Bombyx mori: one gene and its partners. The protein of the gene in region 2 purifies or fractionates together with the protein of the main gene of each other region. This does not show direct contact. Links are inferred from orthologs where the notes say so. Each region holds a gene or a part of one and is shown on either strand. Other genes may lie near its edges.

The links.
Region 1: the proteins of DNA replication licensing factor Mcm3 (region 2) and probable DNA replication complex GINS protein PSF2 purify together in Drosophila melanogaster (affinity purification with western blotting; 3 studies listed by BioGRID, with this or other methods). This does not show direct contact. The link is inferred for Bombyx mori from reciprocal best matches to the Drosophila melanogaster genes Mcm3 and Psf2.
Region 3: the proteins of DNA replication licensing factor Mcm3 (region 2) and cell division control protein 45 homolog purify together in Drosophila melanogaster (affinity purification with western blotting; 5 studies listed by BioGRID, with this or other methods). This does not show direct contact. The link is inferred for Bombyx mori from reciprocal best matches to the Drosophila melanogaster genes Mcm3 and Cdc45.

Annotation. Positions count from the first base shown.
Region 1 is NC_085116.1:1,523,130-1,530,511, forward strand, and holds probable DNA replication complex GINS protein PSF2, read left to right. Parts: upstream 1-2,829; 5' UTR 2,830-3,362; coding exon 3,363-3,607; intron 3,608-4,048; coding exon 4,049-4,221; intron 4,222-4,494; coding exon 4,495-4,790; 3' UTR 4,791-5,254; coding exon of another isoform or gene 5,255-5,332; 3' UTR 5,333-5,453; downstream 5,454-7,382. UniProt on the Drosophila melanogaster protein: The GINS complex plays an essential role in the initiation of DNA replication.
Region 2 is NC_085112.1:2,201,135-2,208,408, reverse strand, and holds the start of DNA replication licensing factor Mcm3, read right to left. Parts: upstream 3,961-7,274; 5' UTR 3,639-3,960; coding exon 3,567-3,638; intron 3,228-3,566; coding exon 2,950-3,227; intron 2,396-2,949; coding exon 2,221-2,395; intron 1,561-2,220; coding exon 1,322-1,560; intron 769-1,321; coding exon 529-768; intron 1-528. UniProt on the Drosophila melanogaster protein: Acts as a component of the Mcm2-7 complex (Mcm complex) (Mcm complex) which is the putative replicative helicase essential for 'once per cell cycle' DNA replication initiation and elongation in eukaryotic cells.
Region 3 is NC_085122.1:1,046,616-1,053,297, reverse strand, and holds part of cell division control protein 45 homolog, read left to right. Parts: intron 1-3,520; coding exon 3,521-3,678; intron 3,679-5,816; exon of another isoform or gene 5,817-5,863; coding exon of another isoform or gene 5,864-5,958; intron 5,959-6,046; coding exon of another isoform or gene 6,047-6,218; intron 6,219-6,385; coding exon of another isoform or gene 6,386-6,576; intron 6,577-6,682. Other genes in the region: putative nuclease HARBI1, read left to right, coding at 5,864-5,958, 6,047-6,218, 6,386-6,576.

The DNA of each region.
Region 1 (7,382 bases), on a different chromosome or scaffold from region 2:
TTTAAAAAATATCTCCTCTTTGGAACAGCACTTCCGTTTCATTTTTATCTTTGTTTTGACTATACCCCCTTCATAAATCAATGATTTTCTATGAATCGACGCGTCTTTTATAAGTCGAGTCGAAATTTTGTGATATCATAGTTAATATACATAAATTAGTAAATATACCATAATATTAGAATTGAAAGTTCATCTTATAAGAAGGGATCTCTTCCAGACGATTGGATAATAAAGACAAAAAAAGAAGTGATGTATAAATTAATTGTTGTTTGCACTTGAATGAAATATTTCTACCATAGCACCGTCAACGTACCTCAAATGACTTTTGTGTATTTTGAACTAATAGGTGTATTTAATGAATTTATTCTGGACATGTTACAAACAAAAAACATTAGTTTCGTTTAATTAAGAACTTGGAAAATACTGTTAGTTGTGACTCTAACCGCCACCTTTTGTGGAAATTTGAAACTAGTAAACGTAATGGAAGTACATACGTATTGAAAATAGATGTCGCTAGATGCATCGAATGTCACATTTGACATATTTATGGCGCGAAAAAACGCCTTAAAACAGAATGGGTTTTAAATGACTAGCTGAATTTCCGGGCGCGATCTCACGAATTTGTATGCAGATTTAAGAAGAAAGATGTTGAATGTTGTTGCTCGGAGACAATGTGTTTTTCGCTCGTGCAGACACATCTGTTATTTATTTGTCGCATTCAAGACAGGTTACTTTTATAAATCTCCAAGATGTTTTTTATCTGTGACGTTTTTATGTTTCGTGAAATCGCTGAATGCTTTTTCTTCTTGTGATTATTTCACTGTAGTATGTTTACATATTTCAAAGGTTTACCAGAAAATAAATGAAATATTAGTATTTTCTATGATAAAAGATAGACTCTACAGATTAAATATGATTCGTTCAAAATAAAATTTATTGCCATTTTCATAGTGTCGAATAGGTGCGTTACTAAAAACTCCGACGAAATAGTAGACTTAGCACTGAAATTGGGCGAATGAAATACATAGTGATCAGTTTATAGACAGAGCAATGTATGTGTTTTTTCCAAACTAAGAGACGCATAAACTTACTGTTCTCTCTGACACAAGGGGGTGAGTCCCCACCAATAATATAGAGCCATAAATATCACCCGTCTGAGACATTGTCAACCGGCTACCCTAATTTACGAGGAGTAATTAGGAGTTTGCACTCTGCCAAAACGATTTGCATCGATCGCCACTCGTAAATGACGTCAATAATTTTAAATGGTAATTTCAATGTTTTACTTTTATGCAGAGAGATGAAGAGTGAGCGAGTTTCGCGTTTTATTTCAGGATTATGCTAACGACTAAATTACATGTAAGGCTAACTTATGCAATTTGAGTTTAAATTAAGCAATTCACAAAAATAATACCCACTTATTTAATGTTCTTTATTTACGATTCCACTTAAAATTGTTCTATAACTACGATTTTTTTTAAAGTAGATTTTTTTTATTTTAGTGCCACCTAGTTCAATCATCTGAACTACGCCAGCTTTAGTGAAAACAAACCATCTATGTCAGTTATTTAAATGTAGCATAGATGACGCTTAAATAAGCAAATTTAAAGAAAACATGTAAATTAAAACTTAATTACCTACTTCCAGTATCGCCATTCATACAGCTATTTAAAACACTGGATTTATGAAACTTATTTCATAAATTCGATCTACTAAGTCGTATTATTTAAACGTTATTCCCGCCAATTTTCCTTTTTTTTAAGGGATTTTATGAACTGGTAACTAAGACTTTTAGGTCATTTTTCGTATTTTCGTATTTTAATTTATATTCATAGTTTTATGAAAAATGATAATATGGAGTGAAATGAAATGAAAATAATTAATTTGAGACATTAATCAACTGGGATGAAATATAATCTCAGTAAAATGGTGGTCACTTACCGCCAAAAAATCTGCATCACTATGTCAGTATGTCAAAGCATAGAACACTTACTATTTGAGTTTCAAAGTCAAACAATTAAGCTCTATAAACAAGAGTAAATATCAGTGGTCTCGAACCTACCGATTTTTCGGTATATCTACCGATATGGGCACTGATCTATTGAAATACCGAAATAAAATGATTTTTCTACGATTTCAGAGTATACATGGAAATTCTCCCGATTTTTCTACCGATTTGACACTTTTAGACATTATTGATCCAAAACATGTTAAAATTGGCAAGACTACTTCGATACTACTTAAAAGTAGGCTCTTTCCCAATATTGTTCAGAGCAATGATTTCCAGGAAATTGATAGAGTAGCGCATTTTAAGAAATTGTGAATAAATCAAAACATTTCCTAATGATGTAGAACTATTTTGGGAAGAAGTAACTTTATTAAAACGTGGCGATGAAACTCAAATGTTTCCTTTGTTGTCTAATTTCATCCTTAATATTTTATCACTTTCCTATTCATCCGCTAACGTTGAACGCATATTTATTCTTTTGAAAACAAAACAGCGAAATAGGCTGTCTACTGAGTCAATCACTGGTCTATTACATGCAAAACGACTCTATAATACAGCTAATTGCTATGATTTTGAAATTAATTCAACGATGACTGCAGCTATGGCCAAACAATATTGGTATAAAAAATATTTATTCTTAAATATGATTGTTATAAATTAGTATGTAAGTTTTTTTTTCAATAAATAAACGCATTTGATTGAATATTGTATATTTTTTGACTAATACCGATTTTGGGTACAAAATAGTACAAATGTACCGATTTTAGCTGGCAAGTCTACTAATCTCGCTCTATGACGTTTGAGATCAGTGATAAAGATAAGGCGACTTTTTGGCGGGAACGCGAGGAGTGAAGTTGTGTGTTTTGTTTTATTTTGTCTATTTAGTGTTTCTTGGGTTTATATGTGTAATAATGGTGGTTTATTAACTGTTTAATATCTGTGAAAGTGCAAAAATGTGGGAAAATGAAACAAAGCCGCTGGACGTCACTTCTCGGGATCCTCCAAAAGTCCAACGAAAAAATCTCAGTAAATGACCACCATTTTACTGAGATTATAGTTCATCCCATATCATCTCATCTCATTTCATTTGATTTCATCCCAGTTAATTAATGTCTCAAATTAATTATCTTCATTTCATTTCATCATTTTTCATAAAAATAAGAGTATAAATTAAAATAAGACATGACTTAAAAGTCTTAGTTACCAGGTCATAATATAAAATACCTAAAAAAATATGATAAATAAAAACATGATAAAGGTAGGTAATATTCCTAAATTTTTAACCAAAATGAATTAAATTAAATATATGTATATTATTAAATGATTATAAATTATTAAAACCATAAAAATAATAATGGAACCTTATGAAATCGAGTTTATTGGTGAGAATCGGATAATCAGTATAACACCAAACTTTACCCATGATAAAATATACTTGATATGCGGTGAATTTGGTCCGTTTCGTGCTGGTTTACCTGTGAACGTACCACTCTGGCTGGCTATCATGCTAAAGCAGAAACAAAAGTGCCATGTTATCCCTCCTGACTGGATGGACGTGGAAGTTTTGGAGAATATTAAAGAAGAGGAAAAGCGTTCCAGGTTTGTCAATATATTTAATAAATTTGGTTTTTTACAAAACACACCAGTTTCAAAACTTTGATCTTTCTAGGTGGTCCAGTTTATTCCAGATACAATTTAATATTTTGTTTATACAACTTCCATGTCTTAATTTTAAATCAAAAAGTATATTTTATTATTATGGTTTATGTTATAAATACCTTCTAGAGCCATCCATTCTAACACTGATACTAAACAATAACTATTAGTGGTCTACCTGTTAATAAATCTCAAATTGTAACATGATTAAAAAACTTGAAGTTCATTGGTCAATAAATATATCTTTGCCAGTACTCATGAAAGGGTGTGTAAATATAAAATCTATCATTAAATGGCGTTTGAGAATTATCAGCAAGATAAAGCAAGTAGTTGTAGTAGTCAAAGTTTTCACATTAAATCTTCCTAAAATTATCAAACTACCAGATTCTTCACAAAGATGCCAAATGAACACTATATGGTGGAAGCCAAACTGATACTTGGTTCAGCTGCCGAAGATGTTCCCAATGCACCAGAAATAAAGACTATTATCAAAGACATCTGGGATATAAGAATGTCTAAGTTACGAACATCAATGGATGCATTGATGAAAACTGGAGGTTTGTAATGATTCCTTTAAAATACTTTACTTTTAAGTACTTTTAACTTACATTTTAAAGATTTTTGAATTGAGAGGATTTTATATTTTATTTTATTGTAACTGATGATATTGTAAACCTGCATGGATCAGAAAGCCTATAATGATGATATGTGGTCTTCGGTAACAACTTAACACCAGAATGGTATGCTTAAATTAAGATAAGAAAAAAATATAGAATGTGACTTACTCAGTCATAAGTTAAATTCAGGACATTTATAATTGACATTTTCAGGTGGCTATGGCAGATTAGATCATTTAACAATGATGGAAATAAACTCAGTGAAACCTCTTCTACCTGCTGCTATGGACAACCTCTTAAGGATGCAAATGGTAAGAACATGTGTGACAAATTGTAATATACTCTCCTTTAGACACATCCTTCTGTATTTTCATCTCCACTTTGTCCTTTTTACGAATATCTCTGAATGTATGTACCATCCTTCGGACCATCTTATACGTGACACATTTATGCATTCTACTCTGAAGGATCCTTGGATTTCTGTTCTAGACTTCACTCTCGTGTCCTAGTAGAAGGGCAAATCACATTGTTGTGATGATGATGTGTGTTACCAAAACTAAAACTGTGAGTGTGCAGTGAGTTCAGCTAACCTAAGGTTTAGTAACTACGGTAATTTGGAGTTTGTAAACCTGGTCTTATCAATATCATTGTTAAACTTAAATTCGGTATTGAAGATTTTTTTATTTGTTTTATAGAGTAAATTACAGTAAGCTGTCTTTAGACTTTCAACTGTAGTTTTGACAAAAATAATTTGATAGGCAGTACACGCACAATGTCCATATCAGTGAATCTACACTGGATCTAGTAGATCTGAAGACACTCTTCTTCAGTCTTCTTGTTGTCATTTGGTTGTCCGTTAGATGCTTAGCAAGGTTATTTGGGTGGGCTTTAAAATTGAAGATCTGAGTGCAATTATTCTTATATGTACTTGCAGTACAGTTTTGTAACAAATAATCAACTTTTTGTTTTACAGAAAACGAAAAAGACAGCACCATCGCTCAATTTAAATAGTTCAACCTTCAGTCAATCAGGGAGCTCTCAAAATACATAGTTTTAAGTGTAGTTAAGTGTAGTTTAAGTTTAGTAAGTTCTTAATACTTTTTAATGATTTTGTAACAAAGTGGTTGGTAACAATCAAAAAGTGGTAATAACATTAAAAACACTTATTGTAACCTTGTTTTTATTCTTTTTAGATATTTAAAATTGCATGCATTTAGAGTTGATCTTATTATATTAAACATTTGATAACCTGTTGTTTTAGACCGAAACCTCAAATCTCAACAGTTTTTATTTTTCACTGCCTAATCTTCGGTAGCCTACGGGGCTGTTCAACTACGCGCGGACCATTAGGTGGGCTCATGGGCACAACCTGGAAAAATATGCTAACACCAGCCCTAACAAAAGCAGTGCTTCGCAGAATCTACCACCGGATCGGAACCGCGACCCACTTAGAAGATCCGGCGGGAAATTAAGTGGGCTGTGTCTATGGACTAGCTCGCACGTCGAACTCTTCAGTTCAGTTCGTCAACGCGTCAGTAATCGATGAATTCGACGAAGACAATGACCACTGCTTAAAGACCTAAAAGCACCGAGAGCGGATGTTGAGGACCCGACAAGATAAATTTTGGGCGACGGCGGCTGCCTTGTCCCGTCGCCTGGGTGCGATATGTAACAGGTCTACAAAAAAAATTATTTTTTTCTACTTTTTTTTCATAGATGAATTCATTATATTTTGTGCTCCAAACACGGAATCTGACATACAATTAGTTACCACACGTAGATTCCCATATAATATTTATTTAATTAACAAACAATATTATTAAAATATCAATTATCATAACGAAATGAAAACATATTTCGGTCTAAGTTTTACAGTGAAAAATCTGAAATTATAGTCACAAAATGAATATATATCGGTCAGTTATCTCATTATATGGTGAGAAGATTTATTTTGTGGTTTTTTTATTTGTCATCGTTTCTATTGGAGTTTCTCAGCGAATTGACCAACAGAAATCAGCAAGCACTGCTGCTGACCATTTCCCACTGTAGCGTTTTTCAATGTGCATTATATCCTGATGAAACCTTTCACCATATTCATCTGATACGGCTCCAAGATTTTCAGGAAAGAGATCTAAAAGAGAGTCGGAAAAATAAATCTTGAGTGACATATTGCATCCTAAAGCTTTATAAGCAAAAAGAAGCTCCCGAATGATTTGTCAGTAGTTCTCACTTTTTCTGTTCCCAAGAAAATTATGACAAACTTTCACAAAAGCCGCCCAAGCTCTTTTTTCTGCTTCGTTCAACTTCGAATTAAAATTTTCATCTTTCATTAGCTCACGTAAGTATCTGTTGATCTACAAAAATTTCTTCCTTCAATTTTGCGTCACTGATTCGAGGAATTTTGGTTTTTAGATATTGAAATTATTCATTGATATTAATTTTAGATATAGTTTTTCTTGAGTCCCAACCTTATGTGAGTGGTGGCAGAAATTTTTTCTCACTTGGCACCAAAGGTTTCTGAGACACATTTTTAAGCCCAGGATTTAAAGTTTTTATCTTGCGTGACTGTCCCACTCACAAAGAAAACGGCAAAACTTTGTGTACCCTCATTGTAATCCGGTGAGTATAGCGACGACTTTTAAATCAGCACAAATATTCCATAAGTAGTTTGAGTTCCATAAAGGTTTGAAAAAAAAAACATATCAAAAAATCTAGACGTGATGGAAAAAATCGGCCAAGGGGTATAGATTCAGAACATTTAAATCGTCATATTTATGACAAAAAATTTTAAAGGAGGATTTCATTGCATACCTGTGTAATTAGCGGTGGCCATTAAAAGAGATTTATAGTGTGGTGCCACTTTATAAAAGTTGTGTTCTGACGCTTCCAGATCGGTTTCGCTTAAAAATCCGAGGTATTGCTTACCCCTGCTATTACCTGTCCCTTTATTATTATTTTTTCGGGCCGGAGGCCGAACCTCCTACGAGATCCCCGGCGGGGTATGTGGGGCTGGTCCGCGAATGCGAGACCGCGGGCCCAAGGAATTTTAGGACCGTACCGCACTAAATGACCCCTGCGTTCTTACACCCGACGTCCGATCT
Region 2 (7,274 bases):
ACTATTTAATTCATAATGTCACCCATGATCCTACTTTTCCAAGCTTTCTTCTCGTACTCTTTAAGGTGATTAATCAGTTTTATGTGATTATTTAAGATTTTTTTATTACGATGATTTAAGATTATTTTAAGAGGAAGGAACAATAGGGATTGCATTTTCATCTATTGAATTTGTTATTTTATTAATTGTCCAAACAAATAGACAAAGTAGTGATAAAGTAACAAAATGGCAGTAACACTTCGAAGTATAACAAAGTCCTCGTTATACTTTGCAACATTCTCCCGTAAGTAAGAATTAACTAGTGAAATCGAGGTTTCTCCTTTACAAAAATGCTAACTACTAATACTCATTTATGAAGTAATTAATACAGAACTACCATACTTTAATAGTCCTATGACTAAAACCTTCTCTGAACTGCCAATGGCTGATCACAATTGCAACTCATTCTGATTTAAAAACATGCAAACATATAGGTCACAAGCAAACAAATTCATCCTTTTGTATTCAAACCCACCAATACATACTCACCCTCGCAATCTTGTACCATTTGGCAGTACCTTCTCCATGCCTCCAAGCAATAAGCACAAAATAGCTTTCTTGATATAATCATGACCATGGATTGACGGAGCTAAAGATTTGCTCATAAGTTCAAACATATCAACATTCTTTCTCTTTGCGAGTCTTTTACAGATCTTAACATCTTCCCTGTTTATTGACATGTTCATATTCTTGTTGATTTGTGTTATATTGTTAGCTATAAGGATTGTTCTGAAAAAATATAACATTACTTTAAATTGAATCCTCTATGGACTGGGGTAAATAGACAAATGTAAAATATGAATTCAGTATGTAATATTCAGGAATAAGTATATAATAATGGTTTTAAATGAAGGTACTATTGTTTTATTATTTTGTTTAGTGAATTATAAATTTAAGAAAACATGCTGGTTACCCAAGATGGTTCAGTGTCAATAGCAATCCTTTTTATTAAAAGAAGAACAAATACTTTCTTGAATACCCACACTGTCGGTACCTTTGTGTGTAAAGGACTTTGAGCACTATATACTGGAGTGGTCCTTTAAAATGTACAGCACCAGACACATATTGATGACAATTCAAAAGAAACAAAACCTAATTAAATTCTTATAATGATCCTTTTCAAATGTATATTTCATAGCGGAAGGTAGCGGCTTGGCTCTGCCCCTGGCATTGCTGAAGTCCATGGGCGACGGTAACCACTCACCATCAGGTGGGCCGTATGCTCGTCTGCCTACAAAGGCAATAAAAAAAATGTATATCAAAAGGTAACTTCTCTTCATACCTGAATGTTCCAGCAGTAAAGCTTCCCTGCTTATTGGGCAGGCATCTATAGTTCCCTACAATCTGCACCCGGTCTCCTGGTTTACATTTGTCTACTAGATCATCATCACATATAATATCTACACTTCTTGGCAGTTGCCCAGCTGGTGCCCGTTCGGGCATCTCTTGAACGGTAAGGGTCTGATGATCTTTGTACCGCGAAAGTCCATATTCAGTTTCTAGAGGATTGCCTTCATCATCCTATGAACATACGAGTTACACTATAAATGTTACTCATAAACTTCAGACACAAATGGCAAAATATCACCAACCTGTCTATTTTTACTATGACACAGTTTGAAAGGTGGACCGGACCACACAGCTATTCTACTATTAAACTGAGATTTAGAGCTCATGGCTCAAGGTAGGTGATGATATTTTGTTGATGTCTATGGGCTCCAGGTTAAATCCAGGTGGGCTGTGAGTTTGTCCACCCATTTAAGATATAAAAAGTTAAATTTTTTTGACTACAATTATAGAAGTGCTAATGTATCTATAAATCGTAAGATAACTTTAAAATTAGTAACTTATTATGTCATCCAATATAGCAAAAGAATCAGTTAAAATTATGCTTATCTTTACCTATTTTGAAAACATTTAAAATAAGTTTAGTTCACAGATTCTGATCATAATGTGTCGTGAAAATAAGTAGTCGAAGTAGCAAAATAAATAACAAATGTGTAGTAGCTGTCTACGACAACTGGCAAAATACAGAGAAAATACCACATTGTGCTGAAGTAGTCTACTACTTCAGCACAGAGTAGAAGGTTTTTTTAGAAGGTAGTCTAATGAGATCTTTATATTTCACTAACAATTTCTTGTTATTCTATTCTAATTTTAATTAATGACTAAACTATGGACCTTAGTAGGGTATACAGCAGAGGTGGGAAATGCTTCAAATGAAGTTAGATCGGTATATTTCCTTTCCATCACTTTTTTGGTAACTGGACAATAATGTACACTTCTGACCACCTTAGGACGAACCAATGATACTCTAGTCACTATGCCTTCCACACAGATTAGATTTCCGAGGTACCTGGAAATATTACAACAATTAGATAAGTGTGAGAAAAACAAATAATATTCTCAATCAATTCTAATCTGACTAATATCTAAAGCACAATACATTGTAACTTATCCTGAATCTTTCTTTTATGCAATTTTTTGTAAATAAATCTAGACTCATTTTGTACGTTTGAGCTTATTCAGCTACTTTAGACCTCTGTTTTTGTATATGATCATAAAAAAAACGCTTACAGCTCAAATATTTATGGAAGATTGTAAATTTTCAGTAGTATTCAGCAGTAAATTTCTTGTTCCATCTCCACATGTATAGTATGCACTGAATCTTAAAACTATATAATTATGAAATATTTTTTTCATTGAATCTAGTACTTTTATATATATTCAAACAGATTAATTTTGCACACAGAAAACAAACAAAAATAAATTTTAGGTGAACCCATCACATATCATAAAACAAACTTAGTTTTAACCTTACAAGCTCGTTAATTATAGCACATCTTAAAATTAAAATGACATAATTCAGCAGTAGAACTTTAATAAGCATGTTTATAAGTAATAACCCACCTAGATGTCAAACTTCGGGGTGTAACATGTTTGTTACCAAAACTTCCTGAGAATGCCACAAAAAACTCCTCTTGAATTTTAGCATATGTAGGGTCTATCGAAGACACATATTCTTTTAAAGCCTTTTGGAATGCTATCTGTTCTTCAAAGGCATTCTCTAGTAAATTCTTGGCACGTTCAGGACTTTTACGCCTTAAGTCATTGATGCTGACTAAGAGGCGCTTTGATTTATCTTCTATCATCTGTTTCACTTTTTCCATATAAATTTCTTGATCTTCCTGGACATTTAAAATTAATTTATATATTAACAAATTACAGAGAAGCTGTCAACGTGTCGTAAATTGATTATGATAACTTAGCAATATTGAAATCCACAAAAAATATAAAACAAGAAACGGAAAAAAATAGAATAAATCAGTTTCTTCTATAATTTCAAAGCACTTCACTTATGATTATTTAAAATCATATCTATAAAGATGAGTGCCTCCATTTTTAATGGGACAGGAGGTTGAAATACTTCATTATTTTATTTCAGATATTAAAACTTATTGTAACCAGAAAAAAATTTAAAGCTTTCATTTACTTCAATACCTAATATCAAAAAATAATTAACTCACACCATCGTCAAGAAATTCGAGGTACTCCCTTTGTAAGTCTCTCAAACGTTGATCGAAATCACCTTCCTCCATATTGAACTTAGCTTTAAAAATTGTTATATTTTGTTTCAGTTGTTTTAACACTTAAAGTTAACCAAAATCAAAAAGTCGTTGCGTATTGTTGAATTTATTTTGATTGAGATGAGAGTTGTAGAGTCCAATATTTCTCACGATCACTGCTATGAATAGCGTTAGAATATTATGGTTTATTTCAAACTTTAATAGAAAACTTTAACAATTACACAAATAAAATCTTATCTAAATTATAACTATCACAAAAAGTTAAATCTAAAAAATTTCAGCAGTTGGCGCGATTTCTCGCAAATAGCCAATGCGAACTAGGCTTGTTGAAAAAATATCGATACATCGATATATCGATATAAATTTTTTAAATTATAGTTATTTTTGAGCTTTATTTAATACTTCAATATATATCGATCGATATAAAATTCCAAGTATCGAAAAGGTATAAAAGTCGATATAATAAAACAATGTTTTCAAGACATAGCATAAAAATATAATAATGATAGATGGTAAAAATGACAATGTGTTCGAAGTATATTTCAAATAATGGAATATGGAAAAGAAGGTTACAACATTCCTCCCCATCTACATCTCGTTGATCAGACGGCGGGGTGCCTGTATACGTCGATTACTTCGACGCGCAGCAAATGGCACAGGAGTGGAGACCGGAGCAGGTGAGGAGTATAACTTCGAATGCTGTGAAGGTGAATTTGGAGAAATTTGTACATTTGTAGGTGACTGCGGTGTAGGTAATGGTACTGCTGCTGAATTCTTGTTTTTAGTTAGCCTTTCGTTAATTGTTGTTTCCATTCCAATGTCTGGAGAAGCAGTCGCCGGCAGCATAGAAGAATGCGCCCTTTCATTCCTCGGGGTTTCTGAGGTGGAGGACTCGCGTGGCCTGATGTGATCAGCGTGTCTTCGTTTTTCTAGTCCTCCTGGTGTTGAAACAATATATGAATATTTATGTTTTCGGGATGTAATTACCGCTGGTTCCCATATTTTATCATTGCGTGTTTTAATATATACTTGGTCACTTGGTCGGTAACTCGGTGATGTGGTACGAATGTTTTCTTTTACTTGTAAATACTGCATTAATCTTCTTTTGTCTGGCCGAATGTTGGAAAGTATGCAGTTCAATTGTCGTCCAAACATCATCTCAGCTGGAGATTTACCAGTGGACGAGTGCGGAGTGTTTCTGTATGTAAACAAAAATTCTAATAGTCGGCGCTCGAGATTTGTGTTGTCTACCGATGCCATTCTATTTTTGAATGTTCTGACTAAACGTTGTGCCAGCCCATTTGTCCGAGGATGATATGGAGATGATGTGACATGTAAAATAGATTGTTTTGTGCAATATTCTTTAAATTCATAAGATGTAAATTGAGGTCCATTATCGGATATAATCATTTTTGGTAAGCCAAATGTACAAAATATGTTATCTAATGTAAGACAAAGTGATCTGGTGTTGATGTGTTTCATCGGTCGTATTTCCACCCATTTGGAGAGAGCGTCGCACAATACCAACCAATACGATCCTTCGAACGGTCCAGCAAAGTCGATATGGATTCTCTCCCATACTTCTTCTGGTATGGACCAGGAAAATACAGGAAGTTCAGGATTACAAGGGCGGTTCTGTTGGCATCTGGTACATTTCTTGACAAATAATTCTATGTCTTCGTCAAGGTTAGGCCACCAAACATAGTAACGTGAAAGTGCTTTCATAGCAGAAATGCCAGGATGTCCTCGATGAAGGTATGTAAGAATGGCTTTTCGGAGTGCTGTAGGTATAACGATGCGTCCTTGCCTCACAAGTATCTTATTCTCAACAGATAATTCAGTCCGGTTTCTGTAGAATGGTTTCATTTCTGGATTGTAATCTGATTCTCTCCAGCCGGTTTTTAAATTTTGACAAACTTTTGTGAGTATATGATCCTTTGAAGTTGTTTTCATAAGTAACTGTTCTGATAGATTAAGGTCAGTCATTCGAGTGCTCAAAAGACGTAGATCTATTTTATGTACAAGCCCTTCTGTCTCGGAGGGTTCAGTTTCAGGGTTTGGTAATCTGGAAAGGCAATCAGCTAATGTGTTATTTTCACCTTTCCTGTAGTAAATGTCATATTGATAACTTCCCACTACTAGGGCCCATCTTACCAATCGGTTATTGGCTAGTTTAGGAAGGTTGCGGTGTGCACCCATAATATGTATAAGAGGCTTATGGTCCGTAACTAGATTAAATTTCGTTCCTCTCAAGTACTGATCAAATTTTTTTATACCAAATACTATTGCTAAAGCTTCACGATCAATAACGGAATATTTCATTTCCGCTGGTCGTAGTTTCCTTGAAGCAAAAGCAATTGGTTGTTCTATGTTCGAGTCCTTGTGGAATAATACTGCACCCAATCCCTTGTCGGAAGCGTCACATGCTAAATAAAGGGGACGTTTCTCGTCAAATGCAATTAATGGTTGTGAAGAAGTTATGCATTTCTTTGTATCTTCAAATATTTTTTTTTTTTTCCTACCTAAGCTGATAGCCCTAGCGGCTATTTCAGCGTAGCCTTAACTTTAGTAGGTGAGCTCACGGGGCTCAAACCTGACGATGTTGCTAACACGAACCCTAGCAAGAGTCGTGCTTCGCAGAATCTACCACCGGATCGGAAACGCGACCCACTGAGAAGATCCGGCGAGAAACTCAGTGGGCTGTGTCTGAGAGTTAATTTACTCGTCGAGCCCTTCGTCGCAAGCGACGGGTTCGACGAGAACGGTGACCGGTGCTTGAAGTACCTAAAAGCACCGTTAGTGGATCAGGAGGATCCGAGATGACGTGTTTAGGGCGACGTCGACTGCTTTCCATTCTGTCCGCAGGATCGGGAATGTAGTTACCGGCGGCCACGATGAGAGGGTTCTCGTGTCGTGCCGCTTTATCGAAGTGGCGCATGGACGCCGACTGTAGATACTTACTGATGGACTCTAAGTCCAGGTCGTCATGGAGGTCGACGTTCCTGACGAACCACGGGGCTCCGACGGCTATCCTGCAAAAACGGGATTGAATAATTTGAAAGGATTTTAAGTGTATGCGGGCCGCGTGAGCGAACACTACACTTGCATAGGTCATGACGGGGCGTATGCAAGTTTTGTAGAGTGTCACCTTATTTCTAAGGGACATTTTACTTCGCCTACATATCATCGGGTAGAGACGTCCTAGGATGAAGGCGGCACGATCGCGTACCGTCTTGATGTGGGGGCGGAATGTCATCCTACTGTCGAGGGTGACGCCTAAATATTTGACCTTCGGGGCCCACGGTATGGGCTGGTCGTACATCGTGATTGGGCGAACGGCGGGGGCGGGGTTATTGACGCGCCTAGTCGGGAGAGGGATGCTCAGCGTGGTGTTCGGAGGGCGACCCCTTTTGAAGAGCACCGCTGTGCTTTTCGTGGGGTTAATGTCGATGCGCCACTTCCGGAACCACTGTCCCATGGTGGTAGCTGCGGTCTGAAGTCGTCGATGAAGCAACGCCTTCTTCCTACACGAGTAGTAGATGGCGGTGTCATCGGCGAAGAGCGCCAGATGGGTCTCCGGAGACCGGGGTATATCGTTGATATACAAACTGAATAGTAACGGGGAGAGGGCGGAGCCTTGCGGGACTC
Region 3 (6,682 bases), on a different chromosome or scaffold from region 2:
AACGAGAGAGTAGGTGAGCTCACGGGGCTCTAAGCTGTGGACGTTGCTAACTCTAGCCCTAGCACTGGTCTGCTTCTATCGGTTTGGATCCATCACCGGATCGGAAGGTCTGGCGAGAAACTCAGTGGGCTGTGTAAGTGGGTTAATTTACTTTTTTTTTTTTTTTTTTTTTTTTTTTTTTCCGGGCCGTGGGCCGAACCTCCTACGAGGTCCCCGCGCCTAGGGGGCGCGCGGGGTATGTGAGACTCAACGATCTGCAGGTGTTGAGAGCAGACCGCGGGCCCAAGGAATTTAGGGCCCACCCACTAAACGACTCCCCTGCACTCTTACACCCGGCGTCCGATCTCCGTCCGGGGTCAAAACCCGGTCAGAGTAGGGGGGTTCCCGCGGTCAACACTACAACCAGACACGCGGCGCCACCCCGAGGACGCCCGACCGACGGGTCGTCGAGGCGATAGTCGACGACCAACGACGTCAGTCTCCGCGGTACGGCGGCCCTTCAGGCCGCCCGGGCGATGCCGCTGGTGTTCCGGGATACCCCGCTGGGCCAGAACCAGCCTGCCGGGTCGGAACGCGATACACCGCCGACCGGGTTGCTCTTCCACAGTGTTCGGCGACGACAGCGACGACGAAAATGCGGACCGCATCGCAGTCCGCAGCCGCCGACGCGTCGTCCCGTCCTCCTGGTGCCAGCGCGCTAGAGTGACGGTAGCGTGCGGCGCAGTCTCAGCCCCCTTAGGTCGCCCCGTGACCATCACCGGGAGGAGACTGCCTCCTCATAGGGGCCGGAGCTGGACAAACGCCCTCCTCCGACCCCCGGCTCGACGGCGGCGGCACGGCGCCGAGAGGGAGGAAGAGTTCTCCCTCTCCCGTTCCGCCGCCTCCTTCTGCGAGATGGTGGACACGCAGAAGTCGAGCATCGCCTGCCAGGACTCATCGCTGCCGAGCATCGCAGCCACGACGGTCGGAAGCGACAAGTCCGGTCCTATTTTTGCAACGAGGACGCGGCGCTGCTCCGCGAAAGCGGGGCAGCACGCGAGCGTGTGCTCCGCCGTGTCCTCGTTGCAGCCACTGCAATGGTGGCACTTCGGCGTCGGCTCCCTCCGGGCGACGAGGTGCAGGTAGCGACCGAAACAGCCGTGTCCCGTGAGCACCTGCGTCGCTCGGAAGGTGAGACGTCCTCGGTCGCGATTCACCCAGTCCGAGAGGACCGGGCGGATCGCCTCGACGGTCCGTCGCCCGTAGGCGGGGTCCGCCAGGCGGCGAGACCACGCCTCGAGCACGGCACGCCGAGATTGAAGCTTCCGCGCTCGAACTTCCGCCGCGCCGGGACGCGGCTCCCCCCTGGAGCGGAGATCACATCGCCACGCGTAATCCGCAGCAAGCGCCTCCGCTTCCAGGTCCCAGGGAGGCGTCCCGGCGAGCACGCACGCCGCCTCGAACGAGACGGTGCGGTACCCACGAACCGCCCTGACCGCAATCGCGCGCTGCGGACGTCGCAACGCTGCGACGTTGTCACGGGTCAGGGCGTGGCACCATACGGGCGCCCCGTACAGTGCCATTGACCGCACCACCCCCGTGTAGAGGCGGCGCACCACCATGTCGGGACCCCCGACGTTCGGCAACAGCCGACTCAGCGAGCCGGCGGCTGCCATCAGTCGGGGACCCAATCTTTCGAAGTGAGCACGGAAGCTCCAACGACCGTCCAGTACGAGGCCGAGGTACCGCAACCCGGTCGCCTCGATCTCGACGCGAACGCCTCCGATCACGAGGTGGGCCCCCTGAGGCGGCGCTCTCCGGGCCCCGTGGAACAACAGGGCCTGGGATTTATCGAACGCCACCTCCAGACCCAGCCTTCGGATCCTGCCGACGACGAAGGCCACCCCCGCGCAGGAAAGACGGGCAGACTCGCGCAAGTCCCTACCCCGGGCCACGACCAAGGTGTCGTCCACGTAACAAACTACGCTTAGACCCGGGAGAGGAGCGCTAAGGGCACCCCGCAGGACCCAGTCGTAGCCGATGTTCCACAAGAGAGGGCCAAGGACCGACCCCTGTGGGACACCGCGCTCGACGGGGAAGCGGAGCACCGCCCCACCGTGCTCGGTGCACATGACCGACCTGTCCTCGAGGTAGGACCCGATCAGCCGACGGAGATACGCAGGGACGCCGTGATACTCCAGCGCCCCTGCGATCACCGACCAGGGCAGGGTGTTGAACGCATTGGCGATGTCCAGGGACACCGCCAGTGCAACCCCGCCCCGGCCGACAGCCTCATCAGAGAGGGCGCGCACGCGCATCACCGCGTCGATGGTCGAGCGGCCCTCCCTGAATCCGAACTGCTCCGTTGACAGATCGGGACCCACCCCCGCCAAGTGCTGGACGATGCGGGCGGCCACCACTCGCTCGAGCAGTTTTCCCGCCTCGTCCAGCAACACGATTGGACGGTACCCCGCAGGTGAGTCTGCAGGGCGTCCCTCCTTCCTCAGCAAAACAAGTCTGCCCGTCTTCCACTGTTTCGGAAACCGTCCCGACTCGAGGCAGGCTTCAAAGAGCCGCACGAGCCGGTCCCCAAGGGCACCGAAGGCCAAATCCCAGACCCGACCATGAACACCGTCAGGGCCGGGGGCCGCGTCCTTCCTCCGCATCCTCGACACGGCCGCACGAATCTCCTCCTCCGAGATACTCGGAGGGACCACCTCAGCAGGGGCATCACCGCTCACATCACCCCGTGGCGGCGCGCCCATGGAGGGGGGCTCGAAGTCCCTCTCCATCCGCGGGAACAGCCCGGAGACAATCTCCCGCAGCTGCTGAGGCTGGAGACGCTCTGTCACCGGGAGCGCCCACGGCCGCAATTTCTTGCGGACCGTTTGGTACGGGCGCCCCCAGGGATCCTGGTCGAGCGTCTCTAGGAGCGTCTTCATGCTCTGAGACTTGGCCTCGCCGATGACCCGCCGCAGTGCCTCCTGCTTCTGACGGCAGTCGGCATGCAGGCGGGCCGCTACCTCCGCGAAGTCCGCATCGCGAAGGCGGCGACGGCGGTGGCGGGCGCTTCGGCGGCGCGCCCGCACGCACTCCTCTCGGAGGAGCGCGATCTCGGGCGTAGTGGGTTAATTTACTAGCCGAACCCTACGTTACAAGCGACGGGTTCGACGAGAACGGTGACTGGTGCTTGAGGTACCTAAAAGCACCGTTAGTGTACCGGGAGGATGCGAAATGACGTGCTTAGGACGACGTTGACGTCGCCGTGATAAACATTCGGTCTGCAGAATAGGATATGTTGACACTGGTACTTAACAGATGTAATATAGAAAAACTATTGTAACACACGATTTACTTATCTCTTTTACACTTTATTTCCAAACATTTACACAGAATATTATTTTAATAACCTAAAAGTACATATTATTATCCACAACACGCTTCGTCAGATTACAGAAATAGAGTTATCAGCAACATGCTTCGTCAAAAAACTTACACTTTTGTATGAAAATATTCTTATAAATCTATTTTTAATTCTCAGGGTGCTTCAGTAAGCATGGAAAAGGATGCGTTCCTGCCACTCTACCGGACCTGGTCTTTGGAGAATGCGTTGAAGTATTCTCCAGTTGTGGCTCCTCATCTTCGTCTTCATTCACTGGCTGGTGCTGACAGATTGAGGCAGCTATTGGCAGATATGGGGTAAGCCTGTTCTAAAGTTTATAAGGTCACAATTAAGCTGTTTCATATAAATGAGTTGTCAAATCCGATGGGTAGCACTAAAAATGATAGTAAAAGAGGAAGTGGTATATACAAAATTGGACCTTGAGTTATTGGTATATATTTGGTCGAATATGTATCCGGACATTAGTTTTCCTTATAATAGATCTATAGTTTGTAAAAACAGCACATGATTATCACAGATTTTATTGTAGATTAGCGACCCGCCCTCGCTTCGCTTCGGAAACATTAAATTTTATTATTGATAGCTGAGTCCCGCGATGCTATGTCCCCTCGTACCGCGGGTGACGCCGCGGGTCGAAGGTAGTCTAAAAAAAAGTAAAGCCTAAATTACTCCTTATATCATTAGCTACCTATCAGCGAAAGTCCCGTCAAAATCGGTCCAGCCATTCCAGAGATTAGCTGGAACCAACAGACAGATAAATATTGTAAAAAATGCTATTTTGGTGTATGTACCTTATATGTATTCATATGCATGTAGTAAAAAGCGATTATTTTTGTGCAGGACGAAATAGGGTTTTAATAGTTTTATCAAACAAATAGATTTAATAATATAGTTGATAAGTAATTACGTAACAAAAATGTATAATCTTAAATTATTTAATATGCAATATGTTAGTGTATCAGATCAGAGAATGTGAATAGACCAATAGGAACAATTCGTGGAGCGCTTTCACTACGGTAACATACAGATCAAGGGACCCTCCGAAAGTGACGCGTCGATAGCGCGTCGCGAGATGGGGTACTGAAATAAATATAAAAGGATGGCCATTTACAGGCAAAACACAGTTCCCAGTGAATCTTCGACAAAGAACCATCAGCAAGATAGAAACAGTTCTCAGAAGCTCTCCGACAAAGAAACATCAGCAAGACAGAAACAGTTACCAGCAGTTCTCCAATAGTACAGTTATCAGAAAACCACCAGTGAATTAGCTACCAGTGAACCAGACAGTTACCTGTGAAACCTCACTACAGAAGCCGAAACCCATCGAAAGAAACAGCCGTCTTCTACCAGCGCACAAACAGACAGCAGAAAATATTATTACACGACTCGGAAACAGCCATACAGACCGGGTCGTGTACATTTCATGGTCCATTCGAGCCGGATAGAGGACACATTTCATTATTCTCTCGAGCCGGGTAGAGGATACGTTTTGAAAAGGAAACTGGAACAATGCCGATAACGCGGTCAACAGGAAGAGGACGGATCGAAACTGAACAGTCGCCGCCCTCAGAAACCACAGCTACAACACAGAGCATGTGGACAGAAACAACCGCGAATACCGTCATGAGTCTGGTAGCCCCCACAACAGAATCATCGTGCGCAACAGCCAACACGGAAGCCACGACGAAACTCGCAGAGAAACCTGGGAACTCAAAAACAGAGGCCGTCAAACAGTATATAGCCAAACAGAATGACGTGCCAACAAAACAGCGCACCGGTACAGTCAAAACTGACCGGTCGCGAAACAGAAAAGAACAGAAGATAGCCAAAGCTAGAGAAGAGCTCGCCCGCCTACAGGTGGAGTTAGCAGCCGCCCGATTGGCCACGCTCGAAGCTGGATCTGATGACGAAAACAGCGAATCAGAATACAGTAAGTCAGAACTCGACGAAAGAGTGGGCACGTGGTTGGAAACCCAACCCACAAAAACGGAAAATCACGACCGACATGAGGAAACACCGGCGGGAGCCTGCGACAAACAAGACTTCTCAGTAGCCCTAGCACGAATAACTTGCGAAAATGTATTCGTAACGTTATCGAATTATATTTGTATGAGATTTGTACAGCGCCCCTATCGTACGTAAAAGGAACTAATTTTGGTAGCACGAACAAATTTCGTATCGCAATCGTATCGTCACGTAAACGATACTTGAACCTTATAAACAATGAAACGCTATAATTGCGAGCACGAACACTGTTTTGACGTACGGTAATGTAAATTTCGAAGGCTGGGTATCGACTGACTATCGAGTATTGTCGAAACTTTATTCACTTAAGATTTGTTGGTGAGAAAGGTTTCGTAACGTGTTTAAATATAATTTTCTCCATGTTTTTATTTTTTAAGTATTTTTTTATAAATAATAGTGTTTTCTTATCACTTTAGTTAGTTCTTATATACAATTAATTTTAATAAATTGCTCAAAATGCAAAGACCACCGTTGTACGAGCGTAGTCCTTTATATTATTTTGTTGCTGCAAGTTTACTTGAAAATGAAGAATATTCATCAAGAGAAGTTAGGTAAGTACCTACTTCAGTCAATCGTGTTATATTCTAATATTTTTTAAACATAAATTAATTGAGAATCAATTGGTTTTATTACTTATAGAGAAATTACACGCAGAGTTGCTCTGAGAAAGAAAAATAATCCTGTGGACATAAATGACGCGGAATTCAAAAATAGATACCGGTTGAATAAAGAATCATTCAAGTTTCTTTGTAATCAACTTAAGCAAAAAACATCTTTAAAAGCAAGTTCCAGGATAAGTTTGGAACTTAAGGTAAGTTTGTTTTTATTATCTCAGTAGGTAGACGAGCATACGGCCCACATGATGGTAAGTGGTAACTCACTCGCTCGCTCGCTCATGTATGTTAGCAATGCTAAGGGCAGTGCCAAGTCTCTATTGTGAGAAAAGCTTAAATGTAACATAAAATTCAAACATTTCAGGTTCTTTGCGCGCTATCTTTTTATGCCACTGGATCTTACCAACGCTTAGTGGGAATGGCTAAATATTTGGGCCAAACGACTGTAAGCAAATGTGTGAAGGAAGTAACAGATGCTCTTGTAACTCCTGCAATTTTAAATACTTTCATAAAATTTCCTTATGCCAGAGCTGATAGAGATGTAATAAGAAACAAGTAAGTGTGAACTATATAATTTTATTACAAACATTCATTTTTATATTATCACGATTTGGCGTAAACTTATGACTAAAAAGTAGTATTGTTATTTTTATTTTTTTTA